Caenorhabditis elegans: one gene and its partners. The protein of the gene in region 3 interacts with the protein of the main gene of each other region in a pairwise test. Each region holds a gene or a part of one and is shown on either strand. Other genes may lie near its edges.

The links.
Region 1: the proteins of gln-5 (region 3) and F26F12.3 interact in a two-hybrid assay, tested with the Caenorhabditis elegans proteins (one large-scale study listed by BioGRID).
Region 2: the proteins of gln-5 (region 3) and F40A3.6 interact in a two-hybrid assay, tested with the Caenorhabditis elegans proteins (one large-scale study listed by BioGRID).

Annotation. Positions count from the first base shown.
Region 1 is NC_003283.11:5,838,464-5,848,009, forward strand, and holds F26F12.3 (IBR domain-containing protein), read right to left. Parts: upstream 7,257-9,546; 5' UTR 7,213-7,256; coding exon 7,175-7,212; intron 7,015-7,174; exon of another isoform or gene 6,867-7,014; intron 6,164-6,866; exon of another isoform or gene 6,026-6,163; intron 6,023-6,025; exon of another isoform or gene 5,860-6,022; intron 5,770-5,859; coding exon 5,435-5,769; intron 5,192-5,434; exon of another isoform or gene 4,268-5,191; coding exon 2,184-4,267; intron 2,133-2,183; coding exon 1,999-2,132; intron 1,451-1,998; coding exon 1,369-1,450; 3' UTR 494-1,368; downstream 1-493. Other genes in the region: F26F12.2 (uncharacterized protein), read right to left, coding at 1-29, 77-124.
Region 2 is NC_003283.11:7,890,613-7,896,372, forward strand, and holds F40A3.6 (uncharacterized protein), read right to left. Parts: upstream 3,251-5,760; coding exon 3,092-3,250; intron 2,551-3,091; coding exon 2,383-2,550; intron 2,340-2,382; coding exon 2,142-2,339; intron 2,096-2,141; coding exon 2,010-2,095; intron 1,810-2,009; coding exon 1,644-1,809; 3' UTR 1,506-1,643; downstream 1-1,505. Other genes in the region: F40A3.1 (Conserved secreted protein), read left to right, coding at 955-1,041, 3,719-3,952, 3,996-4,132, 4,539-4,641; F40A3.7 (G-protein coupled receptors family 1 profile domain-containing protein), read right to left, coding at 5,018-5,208.
Region 3 is NC_003282.8:17,269,895-17,275,437, forward strand, and holds gln-5 (glutamine synthetase), read right to left. Parts: upstream 3,759-5,543; 5' UTR 3,740-3,758; coding exon 3,400-3,739; intron 3,352-3,399; coding exon 3,000-3,351; intron 2,956-2,999; coding exon 2,628-2,955; intron 2,578-2,627; coding exon 2,488-2,577; 3' UTR 2,337-2,487; downstream 1-2,336. Other genes in the region: atgp-1 (alpha-glucosidase), read left to right, coding at 193-590, 651-816, 865-953, 1,004-1,178, 1,375-1,677, 1,726-2,007, 2,055-2,165.

The DNA of each region.
Region 1 (9,546 bases), on a different chromosome or scaffold from region 3:
TTGAAAAAAGGATTTTCTTGATTGGGATTCTGCAAAAATTGGTATTATTTGAATATTAAAATTGAAAATCACATACTTTTTGTTCAGCAGACTGCTCATCATTACCGCATACAAATTCTGTCATTTTTATTGTTTAAAAAGTTAAGAAATAATTTAAAACAACGACGTGGCTAATCTTGAGAATAACAATTTACACGTCTCGCCAAAATTCAAATAATTTCTATTAAACATTCATTGTACATGTTTTTAAACGGAGCTTTTTTGCGGGCAAATTGTCGAATGTTTCCGATTTACGCATGTTTTTTCAAAAGTCTGTATGATTTTGGCTGTAATTTTTCGAAAACGAACTTTACCTATTCCCAGCGAGTTTCAGCAGAGGATAACAATAAATTGTAAGTCATTGATATCATATATTTTGTATTAGTATGTCGGAGCCATTATTATTGCATCCCTTTTCTTCTTTCGAAAACCAAAAAAAAACCAAGTGAACATTTTTGCCCTTTCAAAATTTTTTATTGCTAGTTACTTGTTCAGAGAAAATACATATTGATCTGGCAGAAAACATATACACTAAAGCAAAATTGAATACAAAAAAAACACGATCTAGGCATATTAGATAGGATAAGGGCAAGTTGAGTACATAGAAAACGAGGTATTTTCAATTTTTTTTTGATTGTCTTCACTTCACATTAATGTGACACTTTTGAGACAAACGATTAGTTGGGTTTTGTGGATTTTTTTGTTGCAATTTTCACAAATTTTTGCAGCTTCGCAAGCAAATTTTTCGGGATTGAACGAATTGAACGCCTGCGTTCTTGATGGAGGAGGTGATGGAAATTAGAAATTAGGGGCCTAAAAAGGGAAAACCTAGAATTAAATGAAAATTGGCCAATTCCTATAGGAGAAAGGAAATACGTGATCCAGCACATATGGAAGATTGGTTTTTGAATTTTCAGCAGAAATTCAGAAGGCGAAAAAAGGAAGATGAAAAAGAAAATATATGAACATGAAAAGTGAATAGATACAAATGGAATAGATATACACAATTTTTTTTAGTTCGAAATCATAAATTTCGACATATTGTTTTTGTGAATTGGACAATTTTACAAGTGTTTTTGGGGGGTTTGAGTTTTTCTTTTTCAGATGTTTTGTGTACACTATTTACAAAAAAAGCTCAGCTGCAAAAGACATACAAACGCTAGACACAGACTTACAATTGAAATATGGGTAGTTGAGAAAAATGAAGATTAGTTTCAGATTTTGAGGGGGAAAATGCAGTATGAAATATGATAAATGTTGTATGATTAGGGGAGTCAGATAGAGATGAAAAAGTGTACATCTTGATCTTATTTACACTGAAGTCTACAATTAGGCATTGATTTGTTTGAGTTGCTCCAGAACTTTTGAGAGGTTCTTCTCAATTGCTTCATATCTTGTTGGGAAATCGCATCTGAAAATTATTAATTTTTTAAAAAATAAAGTAAGTAAGCTATCTTCGATTCAGAAGGTTTTTCAAAATAATATTGAGTTCTTTTATACTTCCGAATGCAACCTAGGTCCATTGAAAGAGGGCGTTTGAAATAGGCCACTACATAAATTCAGCAGCAGAGGGAAACTTTTAGAAAAAAGTTCTAAAGAATCTAAATCTAGAAAAAAAAACATCTAAAACTAAATCTAGAATCTAAAAATTCTCCAGTGCATAATTTCACAATTTTAGAGGCTCTTAAAATTTCTCTCACTGTTGATTTTCGTGTCTGAGAAAATCCACACTCGGAGCAATTTTACGAGATAAAGTAGTGAAAATGTGCACTTAAATATTTTTATAATGACTTTTCAAACTCAAAGTGCTCCTCTTCAGATAAAATTTTTGTAGTGACCAATTTCAAAGATTCTTTTTCAAATCGTTAGGGTTTAATCGGAAGTCTCAATGTGAGCTGAGAAACCTTCATTCTTAAAAATTTATAAAGTTGCTTCAAAATTTCTGAGTATCTGGATTACCTTGGATGCTGAATTTCCGCTTCGATAGCAAGCCACTGTTTCATGAGCTTACTGAGTTGTGGCTTCAAAGCCAATGCCTCTTGTTTCTTCTCGATATATACATAGGCGAGTCCGTTTTCGACGATGGTCAATACCTGTGATAAGAAAAAAAAAATTATAAGACTTGCAAGAGATGCGGAACTTACCGTCTTACGGATATCGCGAAGTTTTTCTACGCCAGCGTAGGTACTTTTGAGTTTGCGAACTGCTTTCTCAAACTCGGTTTTCTTGGATGTAGAGAAACGAAGTTGACGGGCTTCACCACATACATCCGAGAATTCTTTCTTGATTTGCTTGGAGGCAACAATTGACTCGACGCAACGAGCCGGCAAGACAGCCGATGTCTCCAATTTTCTGACTGCTGCTCCAGTCATTTCATCACGAGACCAGTACGCAACTTCGAGCATAGCAAGATTTTGTGGACAGAAGACACGTCCACATCCTCCACACTCGGCACGAGATGCCTGATCTCGAACCTCCATCGTGTATCCGCACGCGCATTGGATGCGTTTCAGATATTCAGTCTTTTCGAGAACATGAAGCTCATATTCTTTCTCCCATTTTCCGATCCATGTCGCGAATGCGGAGCAAGTCATAGGGAAGTGAGGTTCACGTTCACACTTTGGACACCAGTGGATTCCACATGAGTAACATGAAGAAGTGTTGAATTCATTGGTGTTGTGGTCGATATGGACGAGTTGTTTACATGATGGACATTCTCCTATATCACCACCATCGACGTTGGCCAATGATTCAGTAGCAGCGATCTTGGTGTAAAAGTTCAAAAGTGGAAGTGGAATGATAGCTGGAAGGATATCATATGCCGATTGTCCATCTCCAAGAACAAATGGAATCTCCAATGGGATACATTTGGCGCGGATTTGATCAACGATGTGCTTGCAGAGACAATCACGGCATTGCCAGCTGTCATCCAATTCGAAGAGTTCTGAATTCTTGGTGCAATCGCAAGTTGCACACTTCAGCTTCTCAATGACTGGATCTTTCTCATCATCGGCATCTTCAAAGTCGAAATCATCAGTTTCAAAGTCGATTCGTTCAAATCGTTCTTCTGGCTCTTCGTTGCTCATTGCTTCGTCACGAAGAATGGAAGCCATTTTCTCAGCACTCATTACAGGCGCAGAAGTTGCCAACATTGAACTATTGAAGGCTGGTTGGAAGAAATCGCGTTTCAATTCGAATCGACTCTTTTGGGAACGATGAACATCGATGCATTCTGGGGCAGCGACACCTCCTTCTTTCCATTCAGCAACCAGCTTTGAGAGAATTGCAACAACTTCTTGAAGATTGGCTGCATGCTTCAAAAGACCTCTAAGAATCTGATAAGAGAATGGTCCGGATGGAGCAATATCAGAGTTGAGAAGTACTTTTAGATGTTCTTTCTTTGAAAGGATCGCTCGTTCGACAACAATCATCAGAATCGAAGCTCCATGTGGTTGTTTTTCTCCGAGGACAAGACGAGAAGCATCAATGGAAAGACGTGTACGTTCTGCATCAAGCCACTGAACGTATACTTTATTGTCAGCTTTCAACTCGTCCACTTCATCCTCCAAAGTATCCCACGTGGAAATATCCAAAAGAGTCCATTCGAAAGTATGTGGAGCACGGAGCACTTGGGAAATGTCCACAACGTTCAAAGGTCCACTTGACTCGTCTTCGGTTTCATCAGAAGTGATGACTCCGGCTTCTGATGGCTGAACACTCTCAATGCTCGAGCGTCGAACGAAAACTGGTTTTATGGTGCAAGATTCAGGGGTAATGTAGTCGCCAAGGCAGAATCTGAAATCCCGACTCGGTTTGTAGATGTATGCGTCGTCAATGTGAACACTCTGATGCATATCATCAATGGATGTTGACATATCATCACGATCCACTCGCTTCAGATTTTGACGAGTCTTTCCTGCCTTCCGTGTGTTGTAATTTCTATTGAAAAGCTTGCCAGCAAGCACTTTGTGATTCTTATGAGGTTTATAGATTGTGTATTGAACCTTCGGCTCTCCGTTTTCATCCAAAGAAACTTCTGATGTTTGGGAGCATTCGGAAGTCGTCGAAGCTTCTGATTCTTTCCGTGCTTTGCGTGTTTTCTTAGTATTTGTGGTGCCTGTGACAAGAAGTGTTTGAAGATTGGCTCCTTTACCGCCAGCGGTCTCGTGTCGCACAATTTCTCCATTTTTGTCAATTTCCGTCAATGACACCACATTGTCGATCGTGTCTGAAAATATTGAACAATTTGAATGGGAATTGTGAAATTGCACGAGCCACTCATGTGACTCTTTTGTATTGGGAGAAGGCAGTAAAGAACATGCACTTGTTGTAGGGGACATTGTACGCGCTCTTACGAATATTTATTTATACGGGAGAGAATCAAAAGAAGATGAATGATTGTAGTTTGTTTCCAAGTTTTCTGGATAGATCAAGTCCAAATTAAACAAAAAAATCATGTTTTGAAATCTCATTCCGAAAAATCTAGATCGTTGCAACTTTTTAAAAGTAGAGTACACTCAAGGGAGAATGGTTTGGAAGAGTTCCTATTTTGCTAAAATGACCAAATTTCACATGAAAATAAAAAACAAATCCTCAAAATTACTCAAAAAGCTTTTGAAAAATTTGGCAATTTACCAAAACTTTGCCTGAAAATTTTGAAAAATATTTTTAAATAATTGGACAGTGTTTTAGTCAAGTGTTAGATTATTGTAAGTTTGTTTTGACAAAATTCAAACTGACCATACTCCTTTAAAACAAAAAAAGGGTATATCATTTCTGCAATACTTTGAGTTTGTATCTCAAAAATGATAAGAACAAAAGTTGATATTCGTTTACCTTAAACATTTAAAAAATGTGTTTTTTGTGGTATCCTAACAGTTAGAATTACTTAATTTAATTATTTGTAAAAGCTGATTTTTTTTAATCTCAAAAATTTCAAACCAATCAGGAACAAATTTTCAATGCACGTGTAGTGTTTTGGATTCAAAATGTCTCAATATAATCAAGTACATCTTGTCCTAATAAATAATTCCACCAACGGAAAAGTCTTGTGATTCCAATTGTCTCTACCAGATCATTTGATCGACAACTCCTGACACCACCAGTCACCCCCTCCGTTTCCCAAAAGAACGAGCCAGCACACACATACACACTGAAAAGTTATTGCTTATCGGGAGGAGAGTCAAAGCAGTGTCATGTGTTTTTCGATCAACTATTCATTTTTCGTGTACTTTGACTTTGGCATGCAATAGAATCTAGTCGTTTTTTTATGAATTGTTCTCGCGGCGCACTAGGAAGAAAAAATGAAGCGAATAAAACATCATAATGGCTATAAAAATTGAAGAGATAACGTGTGATGAGGCTTCATAGACCGAAAACTTTTACAGTATCCTACCTTTAGCAGTTAAGACACGTTCGACAATCTGCACAGGCATTGACGATCTTCCATCAACGCCCGTCGTCTCCCACGTTGTCTCAGCCTCCAACGCCTCCCAACGTTTGTTCTTATTCATTGAGTACAGGACGTTCGAGGCGATGCCATCGTGGCTTTCCGAAGCGACGCGCTCCTTGCGCTTCTTTCCGAGCACGTGGTTCGGATCGTCGATGGTCTTGACGAGGAATGCGCCAGCCTTGGCGGCCTGGCGTGCATGGCGGTTGGCCACCGCGCTACGTCTGCCCTTCTCCTTCCTGCCCGTCAGTTTGCCACTCAATTCCGGGAATTCCGTTTCGCTGAAAATAAGCTTTTATGTCAATCAGTTTATTAGTTTATAGATTTAGTAGAGTAGTGATCATAATACGTTTTGACACATTTTTAATTACCTATTCTTAAATCAACTCCAAAGCGGCAAAGATCTTACCGACATTGCCTACTGGTAGATGGCATCATCGGATTAGTAGTGGCCAAATACAGTGAAACACTATTAAACATAATAGTCGATTGTTTTGTCAAAGTCTATAGTTGAAAAAGTCTAAGTAACCGAGCGCCGGCCTTCGCCTGGCTCTATTTATACACGAGACATTCATGTTTTTGGGTGCCACGTGACTACACGTTTGGCGACCGCTTGTGGCACCGGTGATGACATCATCACGAGGAAAAATGTGAAAGTTGTAGTGAGGAACTGTGAGTGGGAGATAGAGAACACGTGCTTGATCGCTTTGCTTCTCTGAGTATCCGAGTTTTGAATAATATATTCGTCAGGGACAAACAACCACAACTGAACTATGTTGATCGGAGAAAAAAAAAACATGTCTAAGATCAGGAAACAAAACTTCTTGATTCATGGTTACGTTGCCCAAATAAGGGCACCACAATGCATCAAGGCTAGGGCAGAAAGTTGGTCAGCAAAGATTTTTCAAAAAAAAAAATTCAGGTTATGTCTGCCTACAGACTACGTTTGATTGTTTGAACCAGATCAAACCACATGAAATGTCTAGATCCCTCTAATCCCTACAAAGTGTTCAAGTTCCCAAGGTGACTACCATCGAGACAGATGTTCTTTCCCACCTGTAACAGTTACTCAAACATCTGCTCAAAGTACACATCGTCCTCCTACAGTAGATAAGATAACAGAAAACCAAAAAACTTTGTTCGAAACAAAGATGCTATCGAAATACAACGTTATCAAAGTCGTTTCAGGGAAGTTTTCACTCGTCGGAGCCCTATAGTCTAGAACATTGATCTTTTCTACAGTAACTCCCCCCCCCCCCCCCCCCCCCACAAAAGTTTTCCTACTCACTAATAGAATCAAAGAATCAACGGGCGATTTAGATTTAGATTCAGATTCGAGTGAATCCAGTCCTATGTGTTCATCGGAAATGGAAATGGCAACGAAAATACAGCAGCAACAATTTTCTCAACGAAAAGTGGTCACGAGTGACACCGACACGATGTCTCACATGCTTTATGCAGAATTTATAACTATTTTTGAGGCGGCAGACATTCTATGTGGCACGACAAAAAACGTTCATTTTATGGCCGTATACTTTTGAAACTATAAAATTCTATACAGATCGAGTTGTTTTAGTGTCTAGGTTTATAAACTAGTTGTTACTAAAACCTCAAAAAATATACAATTGGAAAGTATTTTAAAAACGAATTCTATGTGTGCTGAAAGTTTTTTCGTCGAAAACTTACTTGAGTTCAAATCCGACATCCTTGTCTTGGACGGACATGAAGCAGGTTTCAGGAGAGGAGGAAGAGGGAGACTGCGCTGAGCCTGCAAATATACAAATAAATGAAAAATATTATGCACAAAGTTAGAAGATTATTGATAAAACGGCAAGAGGTGCAGAAACGTAGGTAGAAAAATAAACGGGCGGTACAAGAAAAGAGCCACCCAGAGAAAAAGAGGGGGAACGGCGACGAAACCAGCGACAAACTGTCTGGTGCTCTATCTCGTTTTGCTCCGGCAGCAGGAGAAGCAACAGCAGTAAGTCAACCACACAATGTGTCTATTTTTGAGTACAAGTCTCAGAAAACCTCAGGACTATGAAACGAAGAGGAGGAGAACGAGGAAAAGAGAGCAGAGATGCAGGAAGCGGGGGGCAGCCAACAGCAGCCAGCAGCTAGAGGGTCATCGTCATGTGATTGAGATGGAAGGAAATCGAAAGGAAACACAGGCTTTTTTCCAATTTTCTTCTCGCTTTTTTTGACTTGTATTGTTTCTATCATCTGATCATCATCTTCTCAAATAATTTTGTACATTTCCAAGAAATGAGGTGTTACATTGAGAGAGGAAACAGTCAAGTGGAAACTTTCAAATTTCCAAATTAAATTATTGCAAAGTCACATTGCGTCAAATGTAAACAGAATTTCCAAGTTGCAAGAAAATGTTCACTTTTCAGGCCATAAATTGCATGACTACTTTTAAATTAGGCTTGATCAAGCTTACTAAAAAAATCTGCAAGATTTGTCCTATTAGTCTAGAACCACCTTCGCTCTACTTTGATAGGCCATATTTCAATTGGCGATAGCTTTATCAAAACATTTTCAAGAGTGAAAATGTGTATCAAATATTTCTCTAAGTTTTCATAGTTGAAACATTTTTGATGAAGCCAACGGCGATCGAGATACAAACTGTCAAAGTGGGACGCCTAAGGGAAATTATTGTTTAAAAAATTTAAATTTCTAGAGATGATCAAAAGTCTTGCAATAGAATCACCAAGCGTTCCATTAAAATTTAGACCAAATTCGAATGCATGATGTGAGTGTCTTCGGGTGTTAGATTGCCCCCCAGTAAAGCACCCAACTGGGGTGGTTCGATGAAGGCGTAGAGAAGGGAAAACATGTACACAGAGAATATAGGGTGTGAGGGAAAGAAGCAAAATGAGATGAAGGGAGGGACGATGGTCGGTCACCAATTATAGTGGCAGATGTCGTCGTCGGTGTAGTACATTGGAAAATCTAGACCTTTGGAAACAGAGTTTCTATGAAATTTATGAGCGCGCATGGCTGTTGGTGGAAGGTGTTACGCGTCATTGATTTGTTAGCCAGATTTGAGTGTTTTGTTTATTATTTGTATCTGTGTATCTAGGTCAATGTGTTGAATTGTTGTTGGTAGTAAGGTAAACTGTTATTTTTTTTTAATAGAGAGGGGTTTCAAAATTGAGTTTAGAGTGTTTTTTTAATAGAGAGGGGTTTCAAAATTGAGTTTAGAGTGTATCTTCAGCTGGAATTTAATCTGAATTTACTTACAATTAGGCTAATCTACCATTTAAAAAAAAACTGTACATTTTCAAAAAAAATTTCTCAAAACTTTTTGTCAATGTTTTGGTAAATTGCCAAATTTTCCAAAAATGTGAACTTTTTGAGTTTGCTGCTGCAGGTTCGAACCCAAGATTTCAAAAAAAAAATCAAAGTTTTACCATGCTATTCGGTCCTTTTAGTACAACTTCAACAAATTTCCCTATTGCCGATATTCCCCCTAAAAATTAATATCTGCTTTATGCCTACGCTCTAGTAGGTGCTACGTGATTTTTTCAATTCAAAGACTATTGCTCCGGAAAATCAAAAAATTATGAAATATGAATCTCTGATCCGGCTTAGAGGTAAACCTCAGATTCTCTCTAGCGAAAGCTACCGGGCAGTTAAACTAATATCTTTGTTTGAAATATATATATATATATATATATATATATATATATATATATATATATATATATATATATATATAATTTGTTAGCATTGCGCTTTTTTTGGAGTAAATGAACAAAATTTTGAAGATTAAAATCTAACTAGTCTAAGTTTCAAAAGAATATATATTTATTTCAGGGCTTTTGTGCTGGCGCCAAAACGTCTGTAATCGTTTTTAAAGAATATTTGTAAATTCAGGCAAAAATTCAGAAAAGAGGCCAAGGGCCGATAGGTTTCAGGCAGGCGCCAGGCCTAGAAACCTTATGCCTATTATGGAAGCCCTAACTTTTTTGCATTTTTATCGATAAGCGCAGGTTTCATAATGTGACTAACTAGTGGTTCGAAAAGCAACTGGTCACCTTTTTAGTCTCGCT
Region 2 (5,760 bases), on a different chromosome or scaffold from region 3:
GTTAATTCCATCAATTAAAGGCATTTTAGAAAGGACTCCATCAGTTTTCTCAATAATTTTTCCTGAATATACATATCGAGATATATGACTAGTGAAGACCGGATAGGTGGTCGGAGTACTTTATCTAATAGATAACGATAACCTTATCATTAACTAAAGAAATTTGGCCAAATTTAGGTTCCAAATCGGCTTCCTGACAACTTTTTTACCCGAAAAACTGATTTTTAGCAAAAAATGGAAAAAATGAGTAAATGAGTAAAAGATAAAAAAAATAAATTTGAAAAAAAATGAGTAAATGAGTAAAAGATAATTTCGAAAAAAATGGATGAGTAAAAGATAAAAAAGTAAAAGATATCATAGTAAAAGATAATTAGCCATTTTTCTGATAGCGCCGCGAGAAGAGAACGGTAGTTCAAAATTTCAGAAAATTTCAGAAATAGATTAAAAAATAAAATTCAAAACAAATTATGTGTGCTTTCAAAGTTTGATAATTACAATAATTGAGAAATTTTCAAAATACCACTTTGATTTCACAATACAGTTCTTGAAAAACTGCACCAATTATCGTCTCAACCACTTGAATGGTCACCATCCTCAGTTTTCAAATGTTTGTCAGCGTCTTCCTCACTCATTCATAAATTTTCTGTTTCTCCTGTAGGTTCTTTTTTGTCCTCTTCCCCTTCTACTTGTCTTCCCCTCATTCTCCATTTTTTGCCCCTTTCAACAAGTGGGGGCATGAAAAATGGATGCATGTCAAAAAAAGTATGCATGTGCCGCCGCAATGACTTATTACCTTCATCGCTTGTCAGTTTGCGTGCCATTCTCTATTGAATATCTTCATCTTGTTGATTCGCATTAGCAGCAGCACTCCTACCAATGGAGGGCATTCCAACAGAATTTATAAATTATTTTTACAGCAAAAACATACACTTATAGCCGTCTCGCTATGCCATGATGCGGAGCCAGCTTCGAAATTCTTTGAACGTCGTTGCAGTCATAATACTTCTTTTACCAACCGCCACGTGGCAAAATCATCTAGAAGTGAGTTGTTATTTCAAAAAAAATGTACATAAAAAAATACTTCTGCAATAAGCAAAAAAAAATCAAACTTCGTGGACCGTCTTGTGCTCTGCGATCGGAACAATAAATTGAGCTTGGCCAGCCTATCTAAAAACTGTGGAATTGTTAGAAGAATTTTTTTTAGTTTGGAAAATATTGTTGCTGTACTACAAATTCTGAAAAAAACATATCCAGTAAACCTGAATTTTTCCAATAATTAAAATGGATAGAAAACTCGTGATAGAAAAACTAGAACATTTTGATAATTTCCAAAATAAAAAAAAAACAATTCCTCAATATCAGCAATTCTCTTAGCTGCTATGAATAGGTCGAGATAAATAAAAGCTTTAACACTTGTGTATCCCAACTATATATATTTTTTAAAATTTAAGTGTTTTTAATTCAAAAATCACTTTTTCCCATATTAAAAAGTTTCAAAATTTAAAGACTATATTCAATGTTTATTCATTCATATATTTCCTCAAATCATACAACACCGGAAGTACATAGAATTTTCAGAATCGGAGTAAGAAAACACTTTTTTTTTTTAATTTGAAAAAAAAAGAATTCATAAGAAAATTTTATTAATATCTTGGCATATCACGGACCATAGCCAAGGTCTCCTCAATTTTTGAGATAAATTTGTCTTTCGGGCGGGAAGTTAGCTGCACAAAGTTGGATCCGATGATTCTTGAGTCTTGACTGCGAACGTAAGGGTGGGATTGGTAGAGGTATGGGGAGAGTGGGGAGCTGGAAGAATTTTGGTTTAACGGAAATTTTTTTAACTGAAAATATAGACTAGTTTTTTTTCCTTCCTTTTTTGTAAGGTCGAAGTGAGAAAGAATGGGATATTTTGAATAGCTGTTCAGCATTTTTTTTGAAAAAAAAATCCAATCTTGTATTAAAATTGGCACAAATCAAACTTTATTCAATTGCTAAAAATTGCCTACCTGTCAAAATCCTTATAATCAATAAGCGTTTTTCTATTGTTTTTTTCATATTCCTCATCTTCGCGAGACTTGTAGCTGCTCAGTGGCTGAAATTTTGAAATTCAAAAAATTTTAAAAGTCTTTTAAACTTACTGGTCTATAGCTTGAAATGCTCGAATACAAGTTTTTCTTTGGCTCTCCGGTAAAGTCCTCGTAATCTTCCTTATCATATGAAGCCAATTCCCGTTCCAAATCCTTCTTTCGTCTTTCACGTTCAGCCTCGTAACTTGCCGCAAAATATTCTGACGATGATTTTGGCTCATATACTTGGAAACTACGGTAGTTCGAAGCCTGAAAAATACACTTATTTAAATTTCAAGTTTAAAAAAGTTACCGCTGGATTTTTGAGCCCCAACTCGGCGTAGAGACTCTCGAGAGGCATTTTCTCGAAGAAGTGCTCTCTATCGTACTTGTCGTCAAGAGCACTTCTTCCGAACTCACGTTCAGCTCTCAACATGCTAGTGGCTGACAATCCGTGGTCTCGCACCAGTTGATCCTTATCCTAAAATAGAAATATTGTTAACCATGGAAACAAAATTGAGTGCTTAGAATTTATTTTAAAATAAAAGCAACTCACGATTGCTCACTGTTCTCCTATAATAGTTTTCGAAGTCAACCAAAATTGCTAGTTTCATGTTTTGATTATGTTTTATGTAGGTTTTTGAACTTACAGCATTGCAAGAAATCGTTCGCAAACCTAATCGTTCGAAAAGTTTGACAGAAAATTTTTTTAATTTTTTTTTAATATTTGGCCATGTTGGGCTTTTATAAAAGTTTGCGCACAAAACGTCCAATTTTTAAATTAAAAAAAAACAACTGAGGATTATGGTGGTGATTTTCTGCGGATTTTTCTGGGTTCCACAAATCACAATAGTTATTTGAATAAATCTTTAATGAGTCGCAGAGCCAAGAAATTAACGGGCGTTTTTTTGTTGAAATGCCACTTATTCCAATTTAAAAGCAGAAACGTACAAGGGGCCTTCATAATTTTAATTGAAAGTACATCGAACTATAGAAAAATAAAAACTGTTCCAAAACATTACTTTTGCTCTGAGACGATTCGTTGGATGAAAAATATTCTTGACATAGCTCTCGTAGCTCTTTGTGTGAGCCCCACCGGGCACAATATCTCGATCAAAACTTGAATTTCCTCTACTTCCAGCGGCCGGCTTACGGTTATGCCATCCAAGGTATTCGGACATCTGAACAGTGGGAAAAATTTCGAAAAACTACAGTTTCACGTTAAAATTTAAAAAAACAGTCAGCTAAAGTCAAAATCACTGACAAACAAAAATAATCAACAAAACGTTTTGACTCGCCACAACGAATAAATGCGTGAGATAGGCAGGAGGATGTTGGAAAACGAAAGAAGAGCAGTTCTCTTCAGTTGTATTACACAATATCTTCTAACTTCTCAATGAGTGAAATAGTGAGGTTACCTGAAGAGACGCAGGAAACCGAGATGCCATTACATCATGCCAATCGTGCTTTCGGTGCGAGGAAGCAGGATGCGGGATGGATGGCAAAAAATGAGGGGAAAACATTTAGAGTTGTCATGTGACATGGAATTAATTTGATAGTTTCATATGATTAAAAATTACTCTCAAACCGGGAAAGACCCGGCTAACTTGAAATTTTCAAAATCTAGCAAAAATATTGAAATTTTTCAGATCAATGACTGGGAACTAATTGGAAGCAGAACATATTCTTGGAAAGGAAACGAAGTATTAAGATGTAAACATTGGGATAAAGTTGCAATCAGATGGCACTTATCAACATGTACCGAACATGGAGTTTGCGATGGAGGAACCAATGTGGATTACGCTACTCGAGCCCAAAACTGGACCGAGATGCCAGTTTGGAGAAATGCGTTCACCTATGTGCAGATTCCGGGTCAACTGCAGGTAATTCAATGCATTCAGCTTTTAATAATATTTTTAATTCTAGAAAACAAAATTTCTACGACTAGGTCTTACTGGCTACGACAGTAGGAAAACCCAACTCGAAGCATTTTCACCACTAAAAATTGATGTGGATTGGAGATGGCAAGTTACTCGGGACGGATGCAATAATTTCGTTGTCAGGTATGTAACATTCTACAAAAGTTTGAAACGAGATTAATAGTAAGCCAAAACATCAATTTGGTTAAATTTTCACATGAAATATGACACGTTGAGTCTGTTAACTGCGGATTTATATCAACAAAAATATCTTTAAAAGTGGATATATCGCTTCTATGGCAGTTAAGAAATTTAACCTTTTTTTGAAAGAATAGCATAGTCTTGAAGATTGTGAATTCTAATGAACGTACGATCGCCGCAAGATGGCAATCTCTAAAGTTTGGTACTTCTACGCAATTGCGTTAAATGTTGGAATATAACCTATTCTGATGCACATTTTTGGCAGTAGGTACGGCAGTAAGCGAGGCGAAATAGGCAGGAAAGTAGTCAGTTTTCAATCAAAATTTTAATTCAATGTTTTTTTTTTCAGAATGTCCGCAATGAGCATGATCAACGAAAAAATGCGTCCAAAATTGGAGCGATTCTGCCGTCTCTTTGACAAAGACCATTTCGTAGATTGTACTAATCTCTAGTTTTTTGTTCCAAAATGTTCATCAGCTTCCCCACACCGCCTATCATCCTCTACTTGTGTCCTCTAACTCCTAAAGGGTCGAATAATTTCAAAAAACATGTCAAAATGTGATTCACTTTTCATAAGTTCGTCCCCCTTCCCCCATCCCCTCCACTGCTTTATCTTCTGTAAATATGAGTGCTCTCTCAATTTATAACAGGTATCCCATATATCAAAAATATTGATCATTTTATTGAATCAAGTAATAATAAACAATATCCAAGTTTTTTGAGATCATCATTGTTTCAATTTACCCGTGTTAGTCGAGAATCAGAAAATTGAATTAAAAAAAAACAATAATTCAAAAACAAGAATATAAATTTTAAAAACCAATAAAATCAAAAATCTCCTTTTCGATTCCCATTCAAAAGTGGTTGATAAATTGTTTCGACAGTGCTTAGAGCCCTGTTCTTGGCTACCAGTGGAGCACACGATGATGATCGTTTTTTCTCTTGAATTGGCATTGAAGTACGTCTGGATGAAGCCGTGCTAAGTTTTGTCGTATGAACAAGTGAACCAGTGATAGAATCTGAAAATTTGAATAATTTTAAATTTGCATTGTTGCAGATTGGGGATTTGTGAGTGCTGCAAGATCGCTCTAATACAAATATTTTGAAAAAGTTCAAAACTTGAAAATTGCCTTTGTTTTAGGGGTTGAGAAAACAATATCGGCTTTAAAAATTCCAAACAAAAAATTCAAACTGATTAACATTAGAGCGCTCTTGCACTTCTGAATCATGATGGATACTGCTTGCAAGCATGGGTTCAGCGTATGGATTACAGCGACTTTATGGTATTTTGCAAAATGTTCCAGAATCTAGTTGGAGTTTAATTATATTTTTTTGAACGTTTTTCATGTGAGTTATAAGATCTAAAAAGATATTTTTGATTTCTGACAATTTTATTATTTAAGAAAACACGTATTTCCTCTACTAATCTTTCAACCTCAAATAGTCTGGAATCCCTACGAGCCAATTGAAAATTAACCATGCAGACCCTATTGATGTTGTACTAACTTGTAGTCACACCAGACACAGGAAAGTTTTAGTAAATGTAACGTAGGCTTTTTTTTAACCCAATG
Region 3 (5,543 bases):
TTGATGACCTCGTTCACTCGTTCACTCGCCTGTCAACTGTTTATCTCGACAATTAATCATTTCCCCCCTCTTTTCCTATTCATCTCTTTCGGAGGTTCATTATTATTCGAAATCCGTCAAAATCCTTAGAATATACGGCTTGAGAATGTGAAAGATCAAAGGAAAATTAAATAACACAAAGAAGCTTTTCAGCTGCTCACCGCAACATTCTACGATTCGGACAACGACGGAGTCGGAGATTTCGCTGGAATCTCACAGAAAATCGATTTCCTCCGGAAGATCGGAGTCACCACTGTCTATCCAACACCGGTCATCAAGATTCATAAGGATGAGTACTTCAACTCGTACGATGTCGTAGATCACAATTCCGTCGATGAGAGATTCGGAACTGAGGAGCAGTTTAAGGAGCTTATCGACACAGTTCATAATAGAGCAATGTATCTTGTGATGGATCTCCCTGTGTCTACCATTGATCTCTCCCACCCATGGTTCGAGAGTCGTGACGAGTCGAAATTCGTTATCGCAAAACCGACAGATCCTGGATTCAACGAGTCCAACTTCTACCCATTCCATGGAGCTAATAATATTAAGTATGAGACGCCGAACTATTTCAATTAATTATTCTTGTTCTAAATCTAATTTTAATTCAGGTATCTTGGCTACCCATCAAGCCAGAATCCAGTGTTGAACTGGAAGAACGCTGACGTCAAATCGACAATCAATGGAGCTATTCAAAAATTCTTGGATCTAGGAGTCGACGGATTCCATATCGATCATATTAGTCAATTGGCTGTTGACTCTAAAGGAAGACCAAATGTAAGCCAACTTCCTAAAGAAACATACAAATTATATTCGAAATTTCAGCATGATGAAGCCGTTAAAGTGCTCGAGGAGCTCACGAAATCTGTCCAAATATATGTTGAATCAAGGGATGAGTTGGTAGATAAGAAGATGTATGGTTTTTCTTGTTAAAATTTGAAAAAAAATCAAGAGAATATTTTAGTGTCCTCTTCTCCTCACTAAAAGACGTTGAAGACTTGCACGTGAAGGCCACAGAGACCGGACTTCTTCACTACGTTATTGACAACTCTTTCGCCAATTTGGACGAGAAGAAATGTCAGCCACACGTCGCAAAATGTGTTCATGACGCTTTGAATGCGGCTTATCAAAGACATGAGGTAATTTTATTTCGACTTTCACTTAAAATCTGAGAGTTCAGGTCGAAAAGTATAGGAAACCGGTAAGTTTCCTAGATATTAGAACTGTGTTTGTGGTAGTTGGGTAGAAAACTAAAAATTTAATTGATTTTTTTTAGATCTAAGTCTATAGACTAGAACCCGCTAAGACTTTTGCAATTGTTTCATTATTTTCCAGGTGGCCAAGTACACTCCACACTGGCAATTCTCAAACTCTGAAGCTTCTCGTCTGGCGTCTCGTTTCGAATCAGCCACCGCCCATCTTCTCTCATTCCTTCAATTGACACTTCCCGGAGCGAATTCTGTGTATTATGGACAAGAATACGGTCTGAAAGACGCGATGAGCAAGAACGGAGAGTTCAAGCAAATGGGTGTAATGCAGTGGTATCCAGCTGGAAAAGATCATCACGGATTCAGTGGAAACGATGCTCCGATTTTCTTCCCGGAAAGCGATGATAAATTGGAGTTGGACAATTATAATGTAGGGTTTAATATTGATTTGAAAAATAATAGTTTTATGTTTTTATAGACTCAATTTGAAACTGAAAACTCTGCTCTCAAGATCTACCGTAAGCTTGCAAAGCTTCGCCAACGCGACGAGGCTCTGATTGTTGGAGAAACCGTTCGTGATGAGCTGATCAACGAAGACGTGATTCTGTTCTCTCGCTACGTGCAGGCTGTCAATAACACTGCAACTGGATCCACGTTCATTGTGGCTCTGAACTTTGGAGATAAGGAGCAGAAGATCGATTTCTCGATTGAGCCCGCTTCAAAATTGATTCCATCAAACAAGGATCTTTTGAATGCAGAGGTGAGATTTAATATTCTTTGTATTTTGTGTAAATTTTAAAATTACAGATCTCTGTTGTTACCGCCAACGTCACCGACTACAGAGTTCGAGATCATCACAACTTTGTCGAATCGCCTCTGGTACTTCCACCAAAGCAGGCCGTCCTCCTCAAACTATAAAATTCCCATCTGAATATATTTTATCTGTCTCTTTCCCTTTGGAAACCTAATTCCTTGTTCATCTTCAAATTTTCATGTTCTAACAAAAAGTTTCTACTTTCTCAAAATGAAAAAGAGTTTCCAAATTTACCATTTTTGTACACTGCCAATTGAAAGCTAAAAATTCAGAAAGATCATGCGTTAGTTTATTCGGGGGGTGTCTAGATGCAAAAATAATTATAATACAACAATCTAGAAATATACAATCGAAATGTGAGATCATTGTTCAGAATACAAGTGGTAATAATTGTTTCTAATGTACATGAATTTGTTAGTCGTTGGGTCAGTCGCTGAGCAGGCAGCTCTTCACAATCATTGCTGTCACCAGGTAAGGATCGCAGTTGGATGATGGACGACGGTCTTCGAGATAGCCCTAAAAATTTGAAAATCTTGTTTTGGAACATTGATTAAATTTAAACTGACCTTCGTCTCGTCAGCGACTTGACGTGGAATCCGAATTGAGCACGCACGATTGGCGATTCCCCAGGAGAACTTGTCAGCTTGACTAGTCTCGTGGCGACCGGTGAGGCGTCGAAGATTGTCCCGTCCTCCATTTGGATCGTAAACCGACATGGCTTCCGAATGAGTTCTTTCGAGGCCTTTCATAGCTTCGAAAATGGCGTTCAGACCGTTTGGTCTTCGCATTTCAATTGTCGAGAAGTTGGTATGACAACCGGCACCGTTCCAGTCTCCCATGGTAACCTTTGGCTTGGGATCCAATGAAACGCACACTCCAAATTGTTCAGCGACTCTGAAAAATAATATTGGATTTTGTATTTTTTGAAAGTTTATTACCTATGCAAAATGTATCTTGCCATCCAGAGTTGATCACCCATATCGATACCTTCACAGGTTCCGATCTGGAACTCCCATTGTCCTGGAGTGACTTCCGCGTTGGTGCCGAAGATGTTGATTCCAGCGTGAAGACAGGCACGGTAGTGTGTCTCCACCACTTCCCGTCCAAAAGCGCGATCCGCTCCAACTCCACAGTAATATTTTCCTTGTGGAGCTGGATATCCATGCTTTGGCCACCCGAGTGGATGTTCATCTCTGTCGACAATCAGATATTCTTGCTCCATTCCAAACCATGGATGATGCTCGGCTACTTTCTTCATGATGGCAGCGCAATTTTGACGATGGTTTGTTGCTGGAAATAATGAAAGATTCAAGGAAGAACTTTAAAATTATAAAATACCTGTTGGCTTCATAGTTTCGTCCAGAGTTTCGCACATCACAAGCACATTGTGTCCTTGAAGAAATGGGTCTGGGAAAACTGCAACAGGCCTCAAATAGCGATCAGAATTCAATCCTTCAGCTTGGCCAGTTGAAGAGCCATCATAGTTCCAGATTGGATACTCTGACAAGTATTGAGGCTTTAAATTGAACGTACGAGTCTTTGCACGGAGTTGTTCGCCGGTTCCATCAATCCAGACGTATGTCGCTTGGCACTTCGACGGATGAGCCGGGAGTCCCATGAAATGATCGATGGTGGCTTGACCGAGAGGAAGACGAGTTTCGTAGTTCAAGTGGGACATGATGACGACGAGAGGTGAGCTGAAAGTAATAAATTGAAATGATTCTGTAAACATAAAGAAAAAATATGGAAAGAAAACAAATTTGTGTATAAAAACGCTCGCAAAATCGAAAAAAAAGCTGAATTAGTGAAGAAAAAATGGCATAGGATATCCTATTGGTTGTCCAAAGTTTTAATAAAACAGAAAACACCAAGAAAACGAAGAAAAATCATCGAAACATCGAAGAAAATTGGCGCCGGCGCCGCTGAAAATTTAATTTTCATTGTCGTTTGTTGCGTCGCGGGCGACCGCGACGCGGCAAAATTCTAGCGCGAATTTAAAATTTGAACGCAAACCCGGATATATCCGGATATCGAACTCGTTTAATAAAGTATTTTGCGTATGCAAAATAGAAAAAACAGTTGGTTCAAAAAAACTTCCATTACGAGTTTATTTTCAGATAACCGAAAAAGTTTTCAGATTCAGATTTTCTATGTCTTATTTAAAATTTTAAAATAGTGTATTTAGATGGGCCCGCGTTTATGCGTCTTTAAAAAAAAATTTTTTAAGCCTTTGAGGAAAATATTCGAATATTTGGGTTTAATTTGGTCAAACAAAAAGGCTACTGTAATGTTGTGGTACTGTAGAATGATGTTTAAAACTAGTTTTTAACTTCCAAAGGCATAAAGAGTACTGTAGTAGTACTGTAACGTTTTTTTTTTAATAAAGACGATTTTGGAACGCCCCGGAAATATCTTGGAAGTTCGAGAAAATATAGGAAACAAGAAAATTTCTGGAAAATCTATAGAAATTCGAAAAAGTGGAAAGGCTGTAGATTTATCTTTTTCTTTTTCGCTTTTCGTTTTTCATCTCCAAAAAAAAATTTCGGCACATGGTACCCGCTAAGAACCAGCAAACTTCTGATCAGATCGATTCGAGATACCCACGAGTGATCAAGGATATCTCTAAATGAAATTCAAATTCATGATACCAACTGCGCTCCATAGATAAATCAGGTTCAAATTTCTCAATATTTGTGCAAGTTCAAAATGTCAAGGCTGATTGAGCATACACATCCCGCATCCGTTCTATCAATATAATATCAAAGTGATGAATCGTAAATTTCGCATTCTCATTTCCATTTCTATCAACCCGAAACTAACAAACAAAAGGTTGTGCGCGCCGCCCGTCTCAGTCCGTAGAAAGGTGTCCAAAACAGTATTTGATGCTCTGCGATGGGCTCGACCGGAGGGAGACCATTGTGTTGACTATCTCTTTTCGAATCAAAAAGGAAATTCTATCCTGCTTTTCTCCTAGTTTTTATCACTTTTCGCCTATTGTTTAGAGACACTTTTGGTCGGCCACTGCCTTAAAGGCCACTTCTTGCATTTTGATACTCTTTGCCCTTTGGGTCTTGGCACGATTGGTTTTCTTAAAATTAAAATGTATAATATCTATTTTAACTTTAGACAATTCCAACATAGACTATACGCCTTTAATCTAATTACATTGTTCAATTGAAAGTTACTGTACCCCTTCTTACCTTGCCCAGGAAGTTCAAAAAAAAAATTTTTTGTCAACATTCTGTTTTTGCGTTTGAAGGTACACACATTATTTTGGGTCCCACCGCGATCTCTGCTGGGATCTAATGGAATAATTGGCGTGTGCCTTTGAATGTCGAAACTCACATTTTGTAAAGGTATTTGTAATTTGACATTTTTTTGTAATTTTTGGTTTTCCCGGAGGCTGGCCGAGTTTCCTTTTTTTCAGCCACATGTCAAGCAAGGCCCTGTGGGTTCAGTGACCCTTCTCATCCCGAAAATTT